3 linked regions of the Oreochromis niloticus genome follow. The protein of the gene in region 3 purifies or fractionates together with the protein of the main gene of each other region. This does not show direct contact. Links are inferred from orthologs where the notes say so. Each region holds a gene or a part of one and is shown on either strand. Other genes may lie near its edges. The genes, in order: eci2, cep170aa and mapk6.

The links.
Region 1: the proteins of mapk6 (region 3) and eci2 purify together in Homo sapiens (affinity purification with mass spectrometry; 3 studies listed by BioGRID and IntAct, with this or other methods). This does not show direct contact. The link is inferred for Oreochromis niloticus from reciprocal best matches to the Homo sapiens genes MAPK6 and ECI2.
Region 2: the proteins of mapk6 (region 3) and cep170aa purify together in Homo sapiens (affinity purification with mass spectrometry; 3 studies listed by BioGRID and IntAct, with this or other methods). This does not show direct contact. The link is inferred for Oreochromis niloticus from reciprocal best matches to the Homo sapiens genes MAPK6 and CEP170.

The regions. Positions count from the first base shown.
Region 1 is NC_031974.2:3,676,590-3,683,588, reverse strand, and holds the start of eci2 (enoyl-CoA delta isomerase 2), read left to right. Parts: upstream 1-3,988; 5' UTR 3,989-4,138; coding exon 4,139-4,194; intron 4,195-4,242; exon of another isoform or gene 4,243-4,542; intron 4,543-6,087; coding exon 6,088-6,146; intron 6,147-6,168; exon of another isoform or gene 6,169-6,180; coding exon of another isoform or gene 6,181-6,217; intron 6,218-6,427; coding exon 6,428-6,531; intron 6,532-6,999. UniProt on the Homo sapiens protein: Able to isomerize both 3-cis and 3-trans double bonds into the 2-trans form in a range of enoyl-CoA species. Has a preference for 3-trans substrates.
Region 2 is NC_031978.2:11,267,128-11,274,313, forward strand, and holds the start of cep170aa (centrosomal protein of 170 kDa), read right to left. Parts: upstream 3,078-7,186; 5' UTR 2,903-3,077; intron 1-2,902. Other genes in the region: rtkn2 (rhotekin-2), read left to right, coding at 6,163-6,297, 6,601-6,702.
Region 3 is NC_031965.2:13,502,760-13,509,679, forward strand, and holds the start of mapk6 (mitogen-activated protein kinase 6), read left to right. Parts: upstream 1-3,856; 5' UTR 3,857-4,070; intron 4,071-5,441; exon of another isoform or gene 5,442-5,651; intron 5,652-6,920. UniProt on the Homo sapiens protein: Atypical MAPK protein. Phosphorylates microtubule-associated protein 2 (MAP2) and MAPKAPK5.

The sequences.
Region 1 (6,999 bases), on a different chromosome or scaffold from region 3:
GTCGTATCTGACTGTCTAAAGTAGGACTTTCAAGACTCAAATACTCCTGTTATTCAATTTTTACATCTCCTAAAATGATTAAACTGTCCAATTCTATTATAGTCAGCTTTATCTGGAAGAATAAAACACATTATATACGCAAATCACAATTAGTTAAAGACTATGAAAACGGGGGCTTGGAAGCTTTAGACTTTGAATCCATTATTGCTGCGTTCAGGCTCAGATGGTTAAAAGACTGCATTTCCTATCCTCAGTCTATGTGGGACCAAACAAACTCTTTAATAAGCTCGGGGGTTAGATTTTTTGCTCAGATGTGATTATGAAATATCTAAGATTCCTCTTAAGTTGTCTAGTTTCTATAAGCAAGCTTTGGATTTTGGGAAACTAATTTTCACCCACAATTCTGTGTTGTGGAATAACAGGGTCATAGTCATCAATAAGAATCCTTATTTAAATCAGACTGGTATGATAGAGGTGAGAGTTTTGTTGTTGATCTGCTTGATAAAAACAGAAACTTGCTATCTTACAAAGAATTTATTGATAAACATAAATTAGACGTTTCATTTAATAATTATAATAAGGTTTGTAAAGCGATACCCACACCGTTGTTAAATCTTATCGTAAATACTTTAAAGTGTTCACTAATAAGAACATGCTTACCTTCACTGATGGTAATATCTCAATAAAGGACAAACAATTTAATAATAAGTTAATCTCTAATACCTTTAAGCAAATAGTATTCTGTAACTATAATGTCAATGTCAGACTTGACCTTGATAGCATGTTGAAAGAAAAGTCATTTTCTTTTTACCTAAAATACCCACTTGTGCCTAAAATGAAAGAAACACTTCAGCATTTATCCAGTTGGAGACTTCCTGTATAAAAGGTTTAATTTTGAGGCCGACTCTTGTGCTTTCTGTTCTTCTGATCCAGAAACATTAGAGCATCTATTTTTCCCTCGTCAGTATGTTGATGCTTTTTGGTTTGAAATACTCTGTTGGGTTTCACTCAGAGTTTCCAATATACCTTCCTTCACATCTGAGGATGTTCTTTACTTTATGGACAATCTGGATTCTGAAATCTCAGATGTTGTAAGGTTTGTAATAGTGCTATGTAAGTTTTTTATTCATTCATGTAAGTGGAAGAATGCCTCTCCTCTGTTTACCGTCTTCTTCAATTACTTTTGTCATAATTTTAAGTCACTAGGGGGCGATCGTGGCTCAAGAGTTGGGAGTTCGCCTTGTAATCGGAAGGTTACCGGTTCGAGCCCCGGCTCGGACAGTCTCGGTCGTTGTGTCCTTGGGCAAGACACTTCACCCGTTGCCTACTGGTGGTGGTCAGAGGGCCCGGTGGTGCCAGTGTCCGGCAGCCTCGCCTCTGTCAGTGCGCCCCAGGGTGGCTGTGGCTACAACGTAGCTTGCCATCACCAGTGCGTGAATGGGTGAATGACTGGATATGTAAAGCGCTTTGGGGTCCTTAGGGACTAGAAAGCGCTATAGAAATACAGGCCATTTACCACTTAAGCTTATTTCAAATATGAATAAAAAACTGCTGTACTATACTGTAAAACCACAGAGTACTTGCTATTCTGAATATTCCTGCCTGTGTCAAAAGGCCCATGTTCCTTATTATTATACCTCAGATACTTTATTTTCTCCCTTTGAAATTAAAATGACTTACTTCACCATCTTTATAATGTAAATTGTTACAATGCTGGTCTGTTTCCTTGTCTTGTATTTGATCATTTCTTTCAATAAAGGATAAAAAAATTCATGCTCACAGACTGATACACAGACTGTTTGATCTCCAGAGATAATATCTGCGTTCATAACACCTGTTTATAACTCACCTGTTTAAATCGTATTAAGGATTAAAGTTTGCATTAATAGGGGCGTGGCCTCTTTGACTGAGAGGTGGATGGTGACACAGGTGGTTGTAGCTGCTAGCTGTCTGCTAGCTTCACCTGAACTGCACCTCTGGACCGTGTTTGTGCTGTTGGAGCATTTTTAATGACATCATGTGACCAATAACATGGCGGCTGTGAGGTTACTGTGGTAACAGAGCATCCAACAATGTGGAGCTCCAGGTTTTGTGCACAGTGAAATTTGAGAACTTTGATTGGGTGTTACTTAAACCTGCTCTTGATCCTACGGTTCTTGCAAATTACAGGCCTATCTCCAAACTACCTTTTCTTTCTAAAATTCTTGAAAAGGTAGTTTACAGCCAAATAATGGCCTTCCTGGAAAAGCAAAATGTGTTAGAGGTTTTCCAGTCTGGTTTTAAACCCTTTCACAGCACTGAATCAGCCCTTTTAAAAGTTTTTAATGACATATTTTTAGCGACTGATGCTGGGGACTGTGTTGTTCTTGTGCTTTTAGGTTTGACAGCTGCGTTTGATACTGTGGATCATGCCATTTTATTCTCTCGTTTGGAGCACTGGGTGGGCATTAGGGGCACAGCACTGGAGTGGTTCAGGTCTTACTTGGCAGGGCAAACTTTTTGTGTCAGTCTCGGTGACCATGTGTCGTCCTCCCCTCTTGTGTGGTGTCCCACAGGGCTCAGTTCTAGGCCCCCTCCTCTTCTCTTTATATCTGCTTCCTCTTGGTTCTGTACTGAGAAAGCACGGCATTGCTTTCCACTTTTATGCTGATGACTGTCAGATCTATGTCCCTCTAAAGAAAAAAGGCAGATACCTCACACAGCCATTACTTCAGTGTCTCGATGACATTAAAGCTTGGATGTCTGTTAACTTTTTAAAATTCAATGATAAAAAGACAGAGGTAATGGTTTTTGGTAGCCCCACTGAGACCCCCAATGTGTATTCCCTGGCCCAGTATGTTAAGCCAACTGTCACAAACCTGGGGGTCAAAGTGCACTGTGATCTGAAGTTTAATAATCAGATTAAGGCAGTGGTAAAATCAAGCTTCTTTCAGCTCAGGCAGTTGGCAAAAATAAAGCCAATTCTTTCACCGCAGCACTTTGAGACAGTGATCCACGCCTTTGTTAGCACTCGGCTGGATTACTGTAATGCACTTTATATTGGGGTCAGTGCATCATATATTAGTCATCTACAGAGGGTGCAAAATGCTGCAGTTCGTCTTTTAACTGGCACTCAAAAGTTTGAGCACATTTCCCCTATTTTAGCTTCACTTCACTGGCTGCCCATTTCTTTTAGGATTCATTTTAAAATTCTTGTATTTGCTTTTAAAGCCCTCCATGGCCTCGCCCCATCTTATCTCTCTGAGCTGCTACAGCTGTATACACCCACCCGCTCTCTCAGGTCAGCTGATCAGCTGCTCCTGAATGTACCCAGGACTGAGCGTAAACTTAGAGGAGATCGTGCTTTTGCTGCAGCAGCTCCAAAACTGTGGAACGAGCTTCCTTTAGAGATTAGACAGGCCAGTTCTTTACCTGTTTTTAAGTCACTCTTGAAAACCCACCTCTTTACCTTGGCCTTTGACACCACGTGAGATGTTGGTTTTTATTTTTATTTCAGTTGTTTTTAGGTGATTCGATGCTGTTTTATCTTGTTTTTGTTTTAATATAGGGCTGTTTTAATTTTATGTATTATGTGTTTTATTTATTTATATTTGCTGTTTTCTATTGTTCTATTGTTTTAACTTATTTTCTGTACAGCACTTTGTTCCTGTGCTGGGTATTTTAAAGTGCGTTATAAATAAAATTGGATTGAATTGGATACTTAATGAGAAGGTACCTATGTCTGTGTGATGCTGACATCAGCTGATAGCCTCTTAAATATGGTCACTTCTGGACAGAGAAAGCAACATGGTGGCAGCAAGAGGCTCCACAACTGTGCTACAGCCATCTTTTATATACAGTCTGTCCATTTTATTAGTTTCAAATCAAATCAAATCATGAGCTCAGTCTGTGTTGAAGCTGACTTTATTTATTTTTTGGCTTTATTCCATAGATACAGTCAGGACTGACAGGAAGCAGAGAGAGAGGAAGACATGCAGCAGTTCTCTTTAACCAATGGGAGAGCAGGAGATGACGGCGTGGGCGGGAGCAGCGATGTAAACATGTTAGCCGCTGATTAGCTCCACTGTGGCGACGCTAGTTAACCCTTCACCGCCTTAGCCCGTCCTCCCGAAGCTTGGACCCCCGGACCTGCGCTTTAATGGCCGGCATCGCCCTGAGGTGCTCCGCTGTCTGGCGCCGTGTCACATTAACAGGGTATGACCGGGGAGGCCCGCCGGTGCGGGGTGTTTGAGGCGGAACCAGAAGTTTAGATGCTAACTGTAGTTAGAAAAGTCTGTAGGAAGCTAACAGTTAGCATGGCTGTTAGCACTGAGTGTCGGGGGGTCTGTGGTTACCTGACAGCTAACGACATCTGTCAGACTCAGGTGTCACACAGAGACGGGCTGAGGCTGACAGGTGCGCTGCTCGCGCTCAAAGCGGAGAAATATCAGCTGTTATATAAGCAGCTAGCTGCAGCTAGCCACGACCTTTGCTCCACATTCAGACATGACCTGAAGATGAGGCTCAGCTTCATCCTCTGTTCATTCAGTGAGCGGGTCACAGGTGAGCAGACAGGTGGGCTGGCATGTTACAGCTCGTATTAGTGATGGGTAGATGAGGCCTCGTGAAGCGTTTCAGCACATTCCCCAAACTGTATCGGCACCGTGTCGACACAGTGTTGCTGTTTTGCTCCATACTGACACCTGCTGGACCTTAAATATCATTGCAGGCAACTTACTTGAGACTCACAACATTTCACAACAATTCAATGACCTAGTCATACTTGTACACTGTAAGGTATTGTACTTTCTATGGAATCATTTTATATCTTTTATATTGCAAATATTGTAGACATCACCAGTGTGTGAATGGGTGGATGACTGGATGTGTACAGCACTTTGGGGTCCTTAGGGACTAGTAAAGTGCTATACAAATACAATACATCTTTAAAATATAGTGTGAATGACACTAAGTGAAAATTAAAATGAAAGTGTTGTGAATGTAATATTACCCATTCGACTCAGAGTTTATTATAAATTTCTAATCAGAAAAATAAGTTTATTCAATCTTTTTGCATTCAGTCTATTGCGGTTTTTTTTTTTTTTTTACACCATTTCCCCAGCTTTGGAAAACTCACCGGCACAGATGAAGCTGGGGTACACAAAAGCTGTAAAGTCAGGTGGAAAAGGTTCTGATGTGGTGTCTTCCTATTCCCCCAGTACGTTAAAGGATCCTCTGATCTTGGGATGTTTCTCTCCAACACTCTCCACAATACTAAGGGGTTGGCAGTCCTTTATAATAAAATTCAGGACTGCCTGGCCCAGAGCAGTCTTCCTAGATGCTTGATTTGAAAAATAAAACACATATTAATAAAAAAAAAAATTATGATATAGGCCGACCTGTGTTCATTCTCGGTGTGTTTGTCTCCTCATTTTCATGTTTGGCTCTGTAATGCCTAAACATTGAGGAGGTGCTTTTGTTTGTGTAAGAAATGCAGAACAGATGCAACATTTAACCTGCATAAAATGAAATAAATAATTTACACTTCAACTCACATTGCTGTTTTTCCTATTCTGATAGATTACACTGAAACAAAGACAGACAAACTATTACCTTATTTGCAGTTAAAAGATCGAAATGATCCCACACAACAGAAACATTTCTTTTTCTTTTGGGCTCCATTTTGTTATGGACAGATGTGTATTTTTTTTTTCTTTGCCAGAGTAATTTTGTGGGGGGGGTTTTTGGTGGCGACTCATTCCGTTGGCAGGTGCGGATGCGGTACCTTTTAAACACAGTTTGGCGCGTTGGTAATGAGCGATACAGCAGCTGTATCGATCACGTGGCTTTTTCTTAAAGTGACGCACGCACCGATACAGGCTTCGCTCTGTGAGCTTGATACATGCGTCGGTGCGTCAGTGTTGCTGGACCCATCACTAGCTCATATTATTCACTCTGAAGATGGAGGTTCTGCTCTTAAATGACGATGAAGCCACAGCAATACTCTTCATCACTGAGCTGCGCCTGTTTGGGTGAAGCTGTAGTGAAAGTGTGAGTCAGGTTAGTCATGATTGGCTCTGTAAACACTGTGTGTGCTTCTGTTTCCAGCTCAGTCCGATCCAACATTCCCAGCCTGAAGTTTCACACCACAGCGTCTCCCATGATGGGTGAGTATCATCATCATCATCATCATCATCATCCATGATGTTCACAGCAGCAGGAGAGCCTTCAAAGCACAGTGAGTTATAAACAGGTGTTATTATGGAGACGGAGAGGACAGAGCCCGGAACAGGTTTGAATCATGTTTATTTCTGCTGGGATTTTATAATCTCACAATAAGTTCTCCACGTTCATCTCAGAGGCCCTGAGGAGCTCAAACAGCTGATGATGATGATGATGATGATAATGATCGGGGACTCTCGGTGATGATGTCATTGCGTGTTTTCAGGTGTGACGGTGGAGCAGTTTGAGCAGGCGAAGAGCAAACTGTCGACGCTGAAGAACGACCCGGGCAACGAGGTCAAACTGAAGATCTACGCTCTCTTCAAACAGGTGCCAGTTCCCCACATGTTCTAGATGTTCCACACGTTCCACACGTTCCAGATGTTCCACATTCAGACATTTGGTGTTCTGGAAAATTCTCACGTGGAGCTTTTCAAAGCAGGTTTTAAAATGGTTAATCCAGATTTGTCAAACCTTTTTTAAAAAAAAAATCATGTCCTCCTTTAAAAAAAAGTATTAGCTTAAAAAAATGATACTTATGAAAACTTCATAAAACTGTCTAATTTTCATTAACCTCAGTGTAAAAAACTAATTTAATTGGTGTTACTGTGGGACTGATTAGATTTGGTAGTGAAGGAAAATATAAGTCTCGTTACTGAGCTTCACTGCTGCCACCTGCCAGAGTCTTACGTCAGCTGTGGGGCCGGCTGTGGGGTCAGCAGCTGCTTCTGTTTCTGCTCGTTCTTCAGCAGTCGGTCGTCCCGGTTGGAGATGTGAGTAAAACTATGCTCAGCGTTC
Region 2 (7,186 bases), on a different chromosome or scaffold from region 3:
GCATGGGTACACTACATTTTTCAGAAACAAGGTCTGGAGGCAGCTTTCTAATAGGGAATAAGAAAAATAAATTGTAAATGAAAAAAATAACATGAATTACCTATTAAACTTCCAGAAATGAATATTAAATTACAAAAACCTGAAACTTTTAACTAACTAATTATTCATGTAGATAGTTATACCTATTTTAGCATCAAGAGAGCACAACATACAAACTCCATTTACATAGAAAACATATTGCAGTCATTTCAAATATACCTTTGGTCTGATGACTGCTCTAATGGCCCTGCATAGCCCCTGCTGAGCAGATAATGACTAACCAATGGCCCTTTAACAGGAACATTAGTATTTGGCCAACCCTGCCACTTTGATTATGGTGCCAACATTTATCCTGGCTGTAGCAATAGCTTCAGTAGCAGATAAAAATAGTGAACTCTCTCACTCTTGCACTTAGAAGGGAAAAAACATAAACGTTAGCATAACAGGACAATCAGGAGTTGGCAGAGGGAAAGATGAGAATAGAACATGTTCAAATATAAGATTGATATCTAGTGGAAAGAAGTATCAAATGAAGGAAACTCAGAGGGGAGTATGTTACACCCCAAAACAGATGTGCAATTTCTCTTTCTGTGAGAGGTTAAATGGCATTTTTTTTTTTTTTTTTTTTTTTTTTTAAATCAGACACACCCTTTATGTTCCATAACAAGGGAGCGGCTGATGATTGTATATATAAAATGCTCCATGCTTGTTTTGGGGAATTTTGTCTGGTATACTGTGCTGTCTCTCCCAATTTCTAACCACAGACTTCGCTATTCACCTCTCTTGTTTTTCCCTCTGACACCACACGCCAGCATGAGCGTTACCAGGCAAGGCTATGTGACTCTCATAACCCTTTTAACGTTTCTACTCTGGCAGATTACAAAACTGAGATTCACTTCTATTTTTAGCTACAGGCTCCCAATTACAAAACTTTTAACAACATCTTAAATACAACTGAATACAATCAGATACTAAGTTCAAGACTGGCTTGTTTTCTGTCACACATAACACTCCCGGGCCACTGAAGTAAAATGAACTCACTTCCTAAACTTCCTACTATACACAATGGCTGTGGGCAGGCTGAGTAAGAGTCTCCAAAAATGTCCCCAACTTGAAACTAGAATTGAAAATATTACTGAAGGATATACTATATGCATACAAATTACTCTTTGAACAGCAGATTGAGTTAAGATGCTGAGAAAGAATATCAGGGTGAAAAAGCAGGATTTCAATGAGTATGGTAATTTACATCACTGCACATTAAATGTGAGTTGATCAAACAGCACTGATAGTCGAATTACTGCAAGAAGCTTCTAGATTTTTTTTCTAAAGAAAAATAAAACTCAAAAAAGCTATGTTTTAAGTGTAATAGACACGTCTGTAGTCAGGCTTGGCTGTAGTTTAGCTTCAGTCAGTTTGCTGCTTCCTCTCCGAGAGTGCAGCAAACGTCCTGTGACACTGACACAGTTTTTAAAAATGCAACCGCCAGTGGAGCCAACAACCCTGCTGGCAGCCACATTTGTGGGGAGAACACAGGAAGAAGGCGGAAAAAGGGGAGAAAAGGGAAAAGGAGCAAAACTGGATTGGATGGTATTATCTGCACATTCTTTTGGCTCGAACCCAAGAAATTTGAATTCTTACAGCTGAGGGAGGAGACTAGCAAGACACACTGATGTGAAACACGTAGCTCTCAAAGAACATCTAATCGGGTTATAAACTCAGACCAGAGCTGCAAGTGACTTTCACCAGCACCTTTGAGTCTACAGGATGAAATTTAAGAGCATAATATAGCTAAATAAATAAAATATAACAGTTTCTAATGCTGTGAATATAAATATTAATTTTAAATGTTTTGAACAGCTGTGAGGCTTCGATTGATATGCATCTTCCTCTAGCATTTGTGCTAAATTGGTAACAGTAATTAAACCGTAATTACAATATTTTTGCATTGATTTCTAGCATGAAGTACCAATTGCTTATGAACAGCCTGTGGGAGAGTTATCAAATTACCATATGGCATTTAAACTAAAGCATTTGCTGCTATTTTCAAAAGTTTTACAGCTAATGTGATGATGACAGCTAAAAAAAAATCAAACTCAACACAAAGAGAGCGGATGCATGCAGGCCAGCTACATCTGCCCCACGAAAACAAAGCCTCCACACAGAAGAAGAGGAGGGGGGTCCGTTATCGGAAAACACTCGGCAGTTGCCTTACTTAGAGTAAAACCTCCCCATAAAATCTACCTCTTAGACAATACAGACTAAAAGAAGACCCCGGGGGTAGCATGTTTCCACTAAGATAAACAAAGCGTTCAGTGTGACCGACCTTCATTGATGTGCATCTTGTCTCGATTAGCCTCTGTCTGGCTACAAAAGGATGCAACTACTGGACAAAATCAGGTCAGTAGTAAACAATAGTATTGATCTGGAGTGAAGCAGTATGCGGCCGGTGTTTTTACAAGGGCAGCAAAGTGGCTATAGTCTGTGCGGCTTACAAAGGTGGAGCAGGGTATGCTTGTCATGCCGCTGCTGACAATAGTAGCCATCCCGTTAGCCAAGAGGGAGTCAGACCAATCTGTTTAGTCGTTACAAGAGCCGGAGTGTTTTTTGTTTCCTAAATTTTACTCAGATTTAATACAGATTTAATGGTTTGAAAATTTGGGGGAATTTTCTATGAGCTCACTGAAAGAGGAAACTGACATCAGTGGATGTGCAGAAGGAAAGCAAAAGCGACTCTTTATATTTTTTTGTCTGCAGCAAACTTCACGTGAGTAACGGTCAACCACCTAGCTAAAACCATACTACGGGCTGTCAATTGTATACTGTTCGCTAAGAAAAAAAATCAAGTACACTCCACACTTACCCTTTCCTTAAAGATGTTTGTTGCTCTGTGACTGCGTGTGGAGCCCAGCCCTGTCGTTGCTGCAGTTCAGTCTGGCTCTATGCGGGGGCCTTCTCTCCCTCCGTTGCTCAGCAATAAGCTACTGACTCCCTGCAAAACAGCGGCGAGCGGACCAACATCCTGAAAGAGGCGTCAAAGTGACAAATAGACCAATCACTGCCTCCGGTCAGAAGTTTCAAAATAAAAGTCAAAGAGACAACAGGATACTCAGATTTCCGAGTTGAGGCGTCGATCATAATTTCAGTGGTGTTTTAAGTTTTAATCATACCGCTGTCACAGTATGGAAATTTGCTTCCGCTAAAAGGAAGTTGAGTTAGGTTTTTTGGGGGGGGGGGGTTTAAATTGATATTCATAAGTCTTCATTTCAGGATATTTTATTTCTCAAAATTAACTGGAAATTTTACGTTATTTTTGATTTATGTCATTTTGGAGTTATTTTCTCTGACTTTTTTTTAGATAAAAACCTGAAATTTTGATATATGGATGGCAAATAATGTTGGGGTTTTTTAGTGGTGGAAACGAGCTTCCATAGTAGATAGCAATTTTTCTGTTTTGTTTTTTGTGATGTGATGTGATGTGATTTTGATGTTTTTAGTTTGCAAAAAGAATAGGTTGAAACAGTTCTAAGAATGTACAGAATGTATGGTAATTAAAAAATGGTAAATGAGAAAGTTCATGAAACATCCTTCTTATTAGAGAAATTAGGATTAAAAGACAGCATTTATTCAACATTCAGACGGCAATTCATCCCGAGTGATTGTGTCACTGCCAAACAAGCCCGTCAAGTATGGCCTGAAGATCTTCTGGGTTTGTGATACATGTGATACGTTTGTGATACCATAGTCAGCTATGTCATCAAGAAAGAAATGGCTGTTGTACTCGATGTATCACAACAAAATGGGGGATGAAAATACCAGAAATGGAAAAAAACACTAATTAATCAAATTCTATAACAAGACCAAAGGAGGTGTAGATACTATGTACAAGATGGTTGGCACCTACACCTGCAAGTGTAAAACATAGAGATGGCCCATGGTGCTGTGTTACAACTTCACATTGCCACCCTGAATACCTACACCTTTTTCACAGCTCAGCACCCTGAATTCAAAAATGGTATTATCTGTGCTTGACAGGTCTTCCTCATTGAGCTCTCAAAGCAGCTTGACACAACACATATGAAAAAATGAGTAGAAGGTTGCCCCCCAACTGCAAGGTGTGTGACGTTCACAGTTTAAACGCTGTCTCCCCAGAAAGCTTTTAAATTACTTATTTATTTATTTGTGTATTTGATACTGAAATAAACGTAATATTCAGAACAATGCGCACAACTATAATCTCATGATCACCTGAGTTAAACCAGAGGTTCAACCAAAGTCTTTCTGTTATGAGTTTCAACTAAAAAGTTCAATATCATGTTCTAACTTATAAAGCCAAGATTGTGTGCATTGTGTCCCCATGGATCCTTTTATATTTTGGGATATGTGAAACCATTCTTTGACAAAATTTGCATGTAATAACCCTTAGTATTTTGAATAATTTATTATATGGGGAAAGTTAAAAAAAAGAAAAAAAGAAACTTGTATCTACAGTAATACCATATTTATGGAATTACTGTACCCTAGACCCAATGCTACTAAAAGCATTATAGAGATAAAGACTGATATCATAGATTAAATTACTTAAAAATATAAGTAAGAAAGACATGACAAGTCATTTTAAAGCCATAAACCCACTATAGCACTTCCCCAATAAAATTCCAAGCTCTTGCATCCTGTTAGGAATGAATGGATTTCAGGCACATGCCTGTATGTTTACAAAACTCTTTTTCCACTTATAGATAGGTCTGCTGCTGGTGCAATTGTAGACTAGTTCCTGATTCAAGGAGTGTGAAATAAAACGTTACAGTGTATTAAATATGGACAGATATGGATTATTGTAGGGCAGTCACTCTAACAGTACTCTACAGATGGTAAAGTAGCTGACATCACTGTGTACTGAGTGACTCAGAGGATTATACTGCATGTCAACCTCGTCTAAAATTCAAAATCCTGCGTTTTATTTTTAAAAGCTGATGTAATTTCCTGTGTTAGTGGAATTTCTCTCCCCAGCTTGACGGAGTTCATCCTCAGCAGCGCCTGCGTCCACAACTGCAACCGTGGATGCTTCCAACTCAACCAGAAGCGATGTCAGCCAGAACCGGGTGGGCGGGTTTCCTGGACTCACACTGGTTACGTTCCGGGGTCTTTTGTTACAGTACCACCACCTGGACTGTGCAGAGGTCATGCTGATAATGAAGGCTGTATCTGCTGCATGATATTCAGGAACCAATTACTACTCGAGATTATCAAACTAATTAGGGATGTGGCACTACAAGAAAAACATCCACCGCTTTTAAAAAATATGAAATTGCAGAGGTTGATCAAATGGCAGTAACATATAAAAGATTCATATTTGTTTTGCTTTAAAAATGGGAGCTCAAAATGGAAATGCTCATTGCATAAACGTGAGAATTATACTTTTAAATTAGCATTACAGCCTGTTAGTTAATTGCATGTTTGTATGTATTATATTATAATATTTAAAATACATTTTCAGATGAATTAAATATAAAATACAATAATAACATATGTAATAAAATATATGTTATCTGATACTGTCTATGATTTTATACTGTCTGAAAATTCAAACTCGAAAACGGTTCAGCCCTGTTTTGTCTGACACACTGACGCAATGACGCCCCCTCCCTGTTGACGTAAAGGCACTCGTTTTTATGTATGGCAGTGCCGCCGGGAAAAGCGGGACGTTTTTTCATGTTTATATTTGAACTGTACCCTTTTATGTATTATTGTTAAAGTATTCTTTTTCTTTATTTAATTCTTGTTATTTAATGATTTCGATTCCATAGGACATTTGTAAGTTAGAGTTTAATTTTGTTTTAATTTTAAGGTTTGATCTAGCGTGACATGGTGACTACAACATTTTATTAAGTCGTAGCTTGGTTACATTTTATACCCTAATTTTTATTTATTTGATATGATATTAAATGTGCTGAGAGAACAATACACTTTTAAGCTTTTGTAATGGGTTTACTTTATGTTGACACGACGGGACATTTCTTTTTCGGGAGGTAAGATAATAGAAATCGAACCGCCCCCGGCCGTTGGAAGCAGGAGCAGGAATACGCTGCTGGTGCAGCTGCTGTTAGCGAATGGACATACAACATGGACGATCCGCGGGATGTTCAAACTTCCAAGAAAAATGGGGGCTCCAGGTCATTGTTTTTGGCCGGCTCCGCGGTGGATATGGAGATTAAACGAAAGAAAATACGACAGAGTACTTTATTCCTACAAACAGAGGTATGGGCGGTACGACAGTGATTGTTTTGTATGATTTACCCAATGGAGTGGGTGCAAAGTGCACGTCAAACATGCGAATGCTGATCTTTTTAATTCACATGGCTTTAATAACATAGTTTCATGTACTGCGACTTGACTTGCTAACGCCCTTCTCAAGCTGGATTTCAACCCTCCAGGGCAAAGCTAGTTCGGGGCAGTGCCCCTTTTGTCAATATTCACTTCCCTGAAACCATATCCGTGTACGCTGCATCATCATTGTATGTTTGCTTCCTTCTAATACTGCTCCAACTAATCTCCCTGCAGGCAAAGAGCATGCAGCCGTGCCCTAGTCTTCTGAAAGACACTCCCCAGATAGTAGAGGATATGAATTTGTTGTACATACGACAGATTTCTAAGAAGCTACAGGTGCATATTGTTGATTGTGATATGGAGAATGATGACGTTTGTGTTATATTAGATGTGATTATAACAGACATCATCAAACTTCATTTAGTTAGAATATGTCTGCTGCATGCCTGCCAGTTTTCACTTGTTTTGTGCTTTTCGAAATGCCATTCGTACATTTCCATGCTCCATCTTTGCCATTAAAACTGCTACCCGAGACATCTTATTAATCTCATTCAGCTGGCATTGCCATCTAACCCCTTCATGCATGCATCATTACGTCACCGAAAGGTTGGTCTTGAGTTTGTGATTTCAAGCTTAACAAGTAATTTGAAACATCACCAGTGTATCATCTTAACTGTGATGTAGTTACTAGTGGAGCTAGAGCGGGGGTGTCAAATGATTGCAAGTCCACCAAAGGGTCCAAAAATTGTAGGGAAGTCAGTTTTTCACTAAAAATGCTTAATATTGAGATTCCAGCATTCCTACAAAGGAATGTAAATGT
Region 3 (6,920 bases):
AGCCCAGTATTGCGTCTCATCAACACACCAGCCACTCTGCCATGCCCCTGAATTTTGAGATATTATAAGAGAGGGTTTAGTTGATGGGAAAGCTGAAGTGAGATTCAGGCTCATCTGGGATCAATCTTTAAAGAGTGCTGGTGTGACAGAGGGAGCTAATCAATCCCATGCTCATTGCTGGTGTGACCCCGATGTGTGATAAGAAGCTTGATGCTGCGGCTGCCGAGGATTAGAGAGAATTGCTAAAGTCAGACAATGGAAATGCGTCTGTGTGCTGGAAAGTCAGAGAGGAAAGATAAGGACGATCTTATGTAATTATTCAAAATTAAGTCTTCTAACTGCACTATAACCCCTTTGTGCATAAATAAGCACAAACACATTTTAGATAAGATAAGACAAGAAAGAAAAGACAAGAAAAGATAAGATAAGATAAGATAAGATAAGATAGATGAGTTTAGAAAACCATCTGATTCAGCTCATAAACATGAAAACATCACACTGAAGGAGATGAATGCAGAAGTTTGAGACAGGAGAGAGTTGATACTGATGGCACAGGATGTCCTTGGTCTTATTTTAAACCCAAATATTATGAGTAATAAGACCTTGTAGACAGTAAAAAGACAGTGACGGGACAGAGGTGTGTGGTTGTATCATTATCACACATCGAGATATCTGATATTAAACGCAGCTTTTTCATTCGCAGGTGTGTCATACTTCATATCGTTATCACAGTCCAGCTCTCCCTCAGTCTTCTGTTGTAGTGCTGTGGACAGCATGCTCTGGGTGGACTTATCTCGGCTTTATGATCCCCTTCAGGATTTGTTCTGGCACTGCTGTGGCGTAAAACATGTTCAGCATCTGACTTTGACCTTGTTTTCTAATCTTTATGCTTTTATTGCCATGAAAAGAAAAACAACAAACTGTCCACTCAAGTGTCATCAAACGTTTAGCAACTTACCTTGAAATGAACCACGTATCAGGTTTATGATGTACTCAGAATCCCGGCTCATTTAGAGGAATTATTTTAATCTTTTAATAATCAACATGCTCTTGCTCAATACAGCGGTTGCTCTTTTTATTTGCTTTTGATTACGATTATGCAATAATATCCTGCCATACAGCTTCAGTGTTTGGACAGTGACTTTTATTAATCTGTCTCACCTGAACCTGTTGAATAGATTCAAACTCATAAGCAGTGAATGCTTTCTGCATTAGTGCTGTTAAGAAACCTCCAGATTCCAGAGCCTCTGATCCTCTTACATCACCACCAAACACCCAGTTTTATCTCTGACCCCACACAAACAAATCCAATCACATCAAGCACACAGAACACACAATACACACAGTGTACCTGCCAGATCACTTAATCATTTCACTTCAGAGTATCCCAAGAATGTACTATTTTGTCATTTGTCTGACGGGCGAGGAGCAGACAAAACAGGTTATATCACATCAGAGAGGCGGACGGATCATACCCCCAGCAATCCTGCGAGTGAGGATTCTCCACTCACAGATGGCGAGAGAAAAGCAAAGAAAAGGCAGATGGTCTATTCCTCTCCTTGCATTTCATCTCACTGTTTGCTTCCAAAAATACAGCAATGAAAATATGCTGATAAAAAAAAGAGATTGCACATTTATAATCTGCAGACACGCAGTTCTGGTTTCTGACTTATTCAAAATCTATCTTTCGCGCAAAGCAGAGATTTCATTCTGACACACTTTTTGGTCATGTGGTTGATATGATGAATGAAGGTTGTGTTAATTTAAAAATCACTAGAGATATCATTCTGCAATCTTTTAATTTCAAAAGTGATTTGATACTGAATACACGCTACACATGGTGTGGTCTCATCTTAGAATTGAACCAAAGTACACTATCCCAAATAAAAAGAACAGCCTGATTTTCATGCCAGTGGTGGTGGCACTATTGTGTCTTGCGTAATCGTACTGTCACATCCCACTAACAACCTCCCGCTGGAGTAAATCGTTTGAACAGCTGGATGTGAACTCATCTGTCCTTGACATGAACTTAAGTGTCGTTAAATACGCTCCTTCAATCCAGACTGAAGACAGACAGACAGTTCACAAACACTTGGATTTTCTAACATCAGTGCATTATTATTTTTATTGTTCAGTTTTATATAAGTATACTCTTTTTATTGTGCCCCCATGTGGTTTTAAGTTGAACTTTTTTCCTTTTAAATTCAAAAATGTGCACTTGTCGACTTGTTCTGTGTTGTTTTTTTTGTCTCATACAGCACCCCGAAACTACCTCTATGCATGAAATGTGCTTTTTCAATACAGTTGGCTTGCTTTACCTTTGAGCAGCAGTGCAGCAGTGAAGTCCAGTTCAATTTAAACACAACAAGCTTTGGAAATAAAGTGATCATACATGAAAAAAAGTTTTTAAAACACAGAAACACTACCTCATCTGTCAAGATATGCAAGTCATGCCATTGCATAAACACATTTGCCCCTTGCACTGGAGACACAATGACAAACACTTCACAGCCTCTTTCACAACACTGTGAAATACCCGACTAGCGCAGCATCAGACAGAGTGTGTATGGATTATATAGCTGCTGTACACGTCCTGTGGTCATATGGTCATTTACAAGGGTGCGAGAGTTGAAACTCCTTCGTGAGCCGTTCTGCACCTTAGTTTGAGCTCCGGTGAGGCAGACTGTTATATAACAGAGGACACTGTAGTGAAAAGCATCAGAGATTAGTGCTGGTCATTCTACCGAGAGCAGGACTTATTGCTTCTGTAAGCTGTGCTATGCAACGGTTTTTCACTGCACTCAGGCAGGGTAATCAGTGATTAATTAATTAATGCTGTTTAACAAGTGAGCGCAGCATTGCTTGCACAGGCAATGCTCATGGCAGCGCACAAGTTTATAGCATAAGCACCGCACTCCATTGATTAATCCCTTGCAAACAAGTGACAATTTAAAAAGCAAAATATAGGCAAACAACCCCAAACCCGCAGCTTGACCTCATGTTCTCACATGCATATTTTGATAACATACAGCTGGTCCAGACTCTGCAGCGGTCTGGTTTGGATATCAAACAAATGTGCATGCACGTCTTTCCTTACAGTCCAAACATGCCAGCCTGTCAAGCCTGTCAAGACACTGGGACGTGCTGCACGACAAGTAGACAGGACAGAGGAAGGAGCACCGCCAGAAAGTAGCAGACCCAGTGAGATGCTGTGATTAGGCAGAGAACAGACGCAGGTTTCAGGGAAGGCAAAACCAGATTTGTGGGGCAACAGAAAAACTGGAAATGATTTTTCCTATAGAATCAGCAGAAACTCATGTCTGGCATTTGTAAATTCACAAGTTCACGAACACCCTTACTGAAACAGACAATGAAAGAGAGCAATAAACCCAGAGGACACCCCTTCCAAGGATACACCACATGCCCACACATAAAAGGGTCTCTTTGTGCAGATGTATCTAGTCTGGTTGTCTGCAAACAATGACTTGATAGTCAAGTTTCGAAATGTGTGACCAAAAACTGTTTTCTCCCATTTAAGCAAATTGATTTTTTTTTTTAAAAAGAAAAAAAGACAAATAACTCCTGAGTGTCTTACCTAGAAGCAAGAGTTTATTTCAGGACAGGCTATAGATAATTAACTCTTTTTCTTTTTACAAAATAAAAGTGAGCAAATCTGAAAATAACAGGGTTTTTTTAAGAATGAGAAAAGAGTACGAAAAGTGGCAGAGAGAGAGAGAGAGACAGAGAAAGGTGGATTCTATGTGTCTGACACACTGCTCTGTCTAAGGCCAAGCCAAACACAGTGCAGTCTCCTCCCCTCTCCGGCTTGGCCTATATTAACTTTCCATGGAGCTCCACCTCACAACCAGAGGCACATGGAGTAGGATAACACACCGCCAAGGCTCTGAGAATACATTCACACACATATAAACAGACAGTGGAGTGCACTGGGTCTTTCAAGCTTTCTGCCTTTCGGACTAGGAGTGACGGACATACAGCATACTCTTCTGAATGGACTATTAACTCAGGCACCATGTTGCTCCATTCATCACTGGAGAATTTCAGCCATGGTAAGAGACCAGAAGATTTTTGTCTTTCATAAAGGTATGAGCAAGCTTGAGAGTGAAAGGAGCTGAGGACATTTTAGTTTTTGTGCAGACTTTGAATAAATGAAGAACAGGTTCAACATAATAAAACAGGGGATGCATGCAGGAGGATAGCAATGTCCAGAAATGGAGCTGAGATAAACTCGGATACTCTTTAAAGGTAAAAGTGCGCGCTTTGGTAAGAGACTCTTACCACTGTGACAGGCAGGTTGACAGCATGTGCACACACTCATTTTCCACACATGAGACACTCTGTGCACAGCAAACAAGACTGATGAACTGCAATAGTGCTGTGTTTGTGTTGGGCCAATGATAAAAAGACAGTGGCAGAAACAGAAGTAAAATACCAACATCTCAGTCAGATGTTTCAGTGTAAGACTTGGTGAAACAGTTCTCTTATATCTCATGATAAAAGAGAGGAAGCCCGGAGCACAGAGTGTAATGACTCAGAGTGGTGGAGATATATCATTAATGACTAAGTAAGAGAAGTCAGGATCTTCTGTCTCCAACGTGATCAAAACGTGAGGGCAGGGTCTCATGAAAGATAAAGTATGTGACTTTATCTTCTGACCTCCATTCTTGACTCTACAGAGCAAAGAGCACTCGTGGGGGCGAGGGAGCTCTATATCACATCCCGTTATTCTCAGTGGAGCTTTTTTATTGCACACAATCAGTGAGTTAAGTGCAAAAGGACTAGATGCCAGTAAAGAGAAGTTCTCTCTTTCTGATTTCTGCCCGATCAGCTCAACAGAAGTGACTTGGAGCAAAGACAGTGAAGCTGCTACCGGATCTTTTTGTACAGGATGGTTCAGAAATAAAGGATCATTTTGACAACATTTGCATCACTTTTACAAGCACAGTCAATCAGGTTTCTAAGGGCAGTTTCACTCATTTCTTCTTGAAAAGCCCCCTATAAATAATAGATTTACCAAACCAACAAATAATAAATAAATAAATAACACCTCAGCTGCATCTTTATGCTTTTAAAATATAGCTCATAAAACTGCGTTTTCACATAACTCCACGTCTATGGGAGCATTAATGGGCGGGATAACATATAGCCCAATCATAATCTGATGTTAAGAGCAGCGGTGAACTATATCAGGTCCTTTCCCAACATTTCTCTCTCTCCTTCTCACTCGTAACCGAGCCGCATCACGTTCCGGCAGCATGTAGTTTCTCTCTGTCCTCCATCGCAGAGCCCACCCCGGCCCGTAAGAGCCAGCCGCATTGTCGGACACATGGGCACTCACATGGTCTGCATGCGGATGCTGATGTAGACTTCTGCGGCTATGATGCTCCTTCCTGCCCGCCCACCCGTTCCCTCTCCATCCCTCCATCCATTCACAGCATCCACACAGAGAGGAGGGACCGGACGCTCCGCGGGACCATCCGTAGAATGAGGGAATCAAATCAGTGCCGTATTTGATTTCTTCACTTCTTTTCCTTGGGATGTGTAATCCTCGCGGAGATCTGATGTGACGTCGGGCCGCTAAAAGAGAAACACCTTGTCGGTGCCAAAGGGAGTAAATCCGCATGGCGCATGTGAGTGACCTGTCCGGATTTTTTTTAAGTCACTGACAAGACCACTACTGCGCGTCACTAAAAAATAATAATAAATGAAACAAAAAGTTAGAAAACAGCTTCGTTTTGCAAAGAAAAGACAAATAATATCATTCTTACTATTGATGCTGCTTTTAATAAAATTTAACAATGGTTGGAAAATAGAGGGATGACGCGTTCTCAACAGAAATTCTGAGAGGCAATAAATAGGCAATCATTTTCTATTTGGAGGACAACTCAGATTTTAAATGTAAAATACTAAAGAGCAAAGTGTAAGCAAATGATGCACTGAGGTGTTTCAACTCAAATGAACAGCTGTATCTGCTCTGCAGGTTATAATGCAGTATTTCCACCCCCCAGATTTCCAGATAGGAGATAAAATAGGATGGGTACAGAATGTTCTTCCTGGTCCATTATCTTGTGGCATCCTCATTTTATGTTGCATAATAGAACAAGTGACAAAAAACAAAAAAAAACAAAAAAAACTGTTTCTAGAGGTTTGTTACTTCTGGGGGTTAGTCTATTATAAAATGGCCTGCAGTTACGGCTGGTTGAACTTTGCATGCATCAAGAGGTGATAATGAGGATGGTGATGGTGAGGTCATATTTCCTGCAAGTATTATTGCCTGTGGTACAGTGCTGTTATCACTTGGTCTATAAACACAAACACTGAGCTGGAATGAACTCCAACTTCAAATGTTTTGAATGACTCCTGCTGTATTCAAGTACTGCTCGAAGCTTACAGCTCCACAACTCTCTATTTGCATGATATAATATTTAATATAGAGATATAAAGACTGTCAAAGGTCTGGGCTGGAAACAATAGATTGTTTTTTGTGTTTTTATTTTAACCAATTCAATCACCAGTTGCTGACATTTTAGTTGCTTACCAACTTAATTGTTCATTACACTGCTAAAATATCAATACATGTATTATGAGTAATATGACACAGTTGTGTTTCTGTGATAATAAAAATGATCAGAAACGTGAGGTGATTAATTCGTGATTTTTAGAAATAATGCAAATAATCTAAGTTAAATTTCATTATTTATGAAGCAGTGCCAACTCACTGCATCTAAACTAGGGCATGTTATTGTCTGAATAATGAACCCAGTGAACCCAGAGTGGGGTTAGGGTATTAGAACTAGAGATAATTACAGAATTCTATCTATGTAATAGTGGGTTGATAATAATTTTAAAAATAAATCAGGAATATTTATTTGCAAATATCTGCTACTATGCAACTAAAA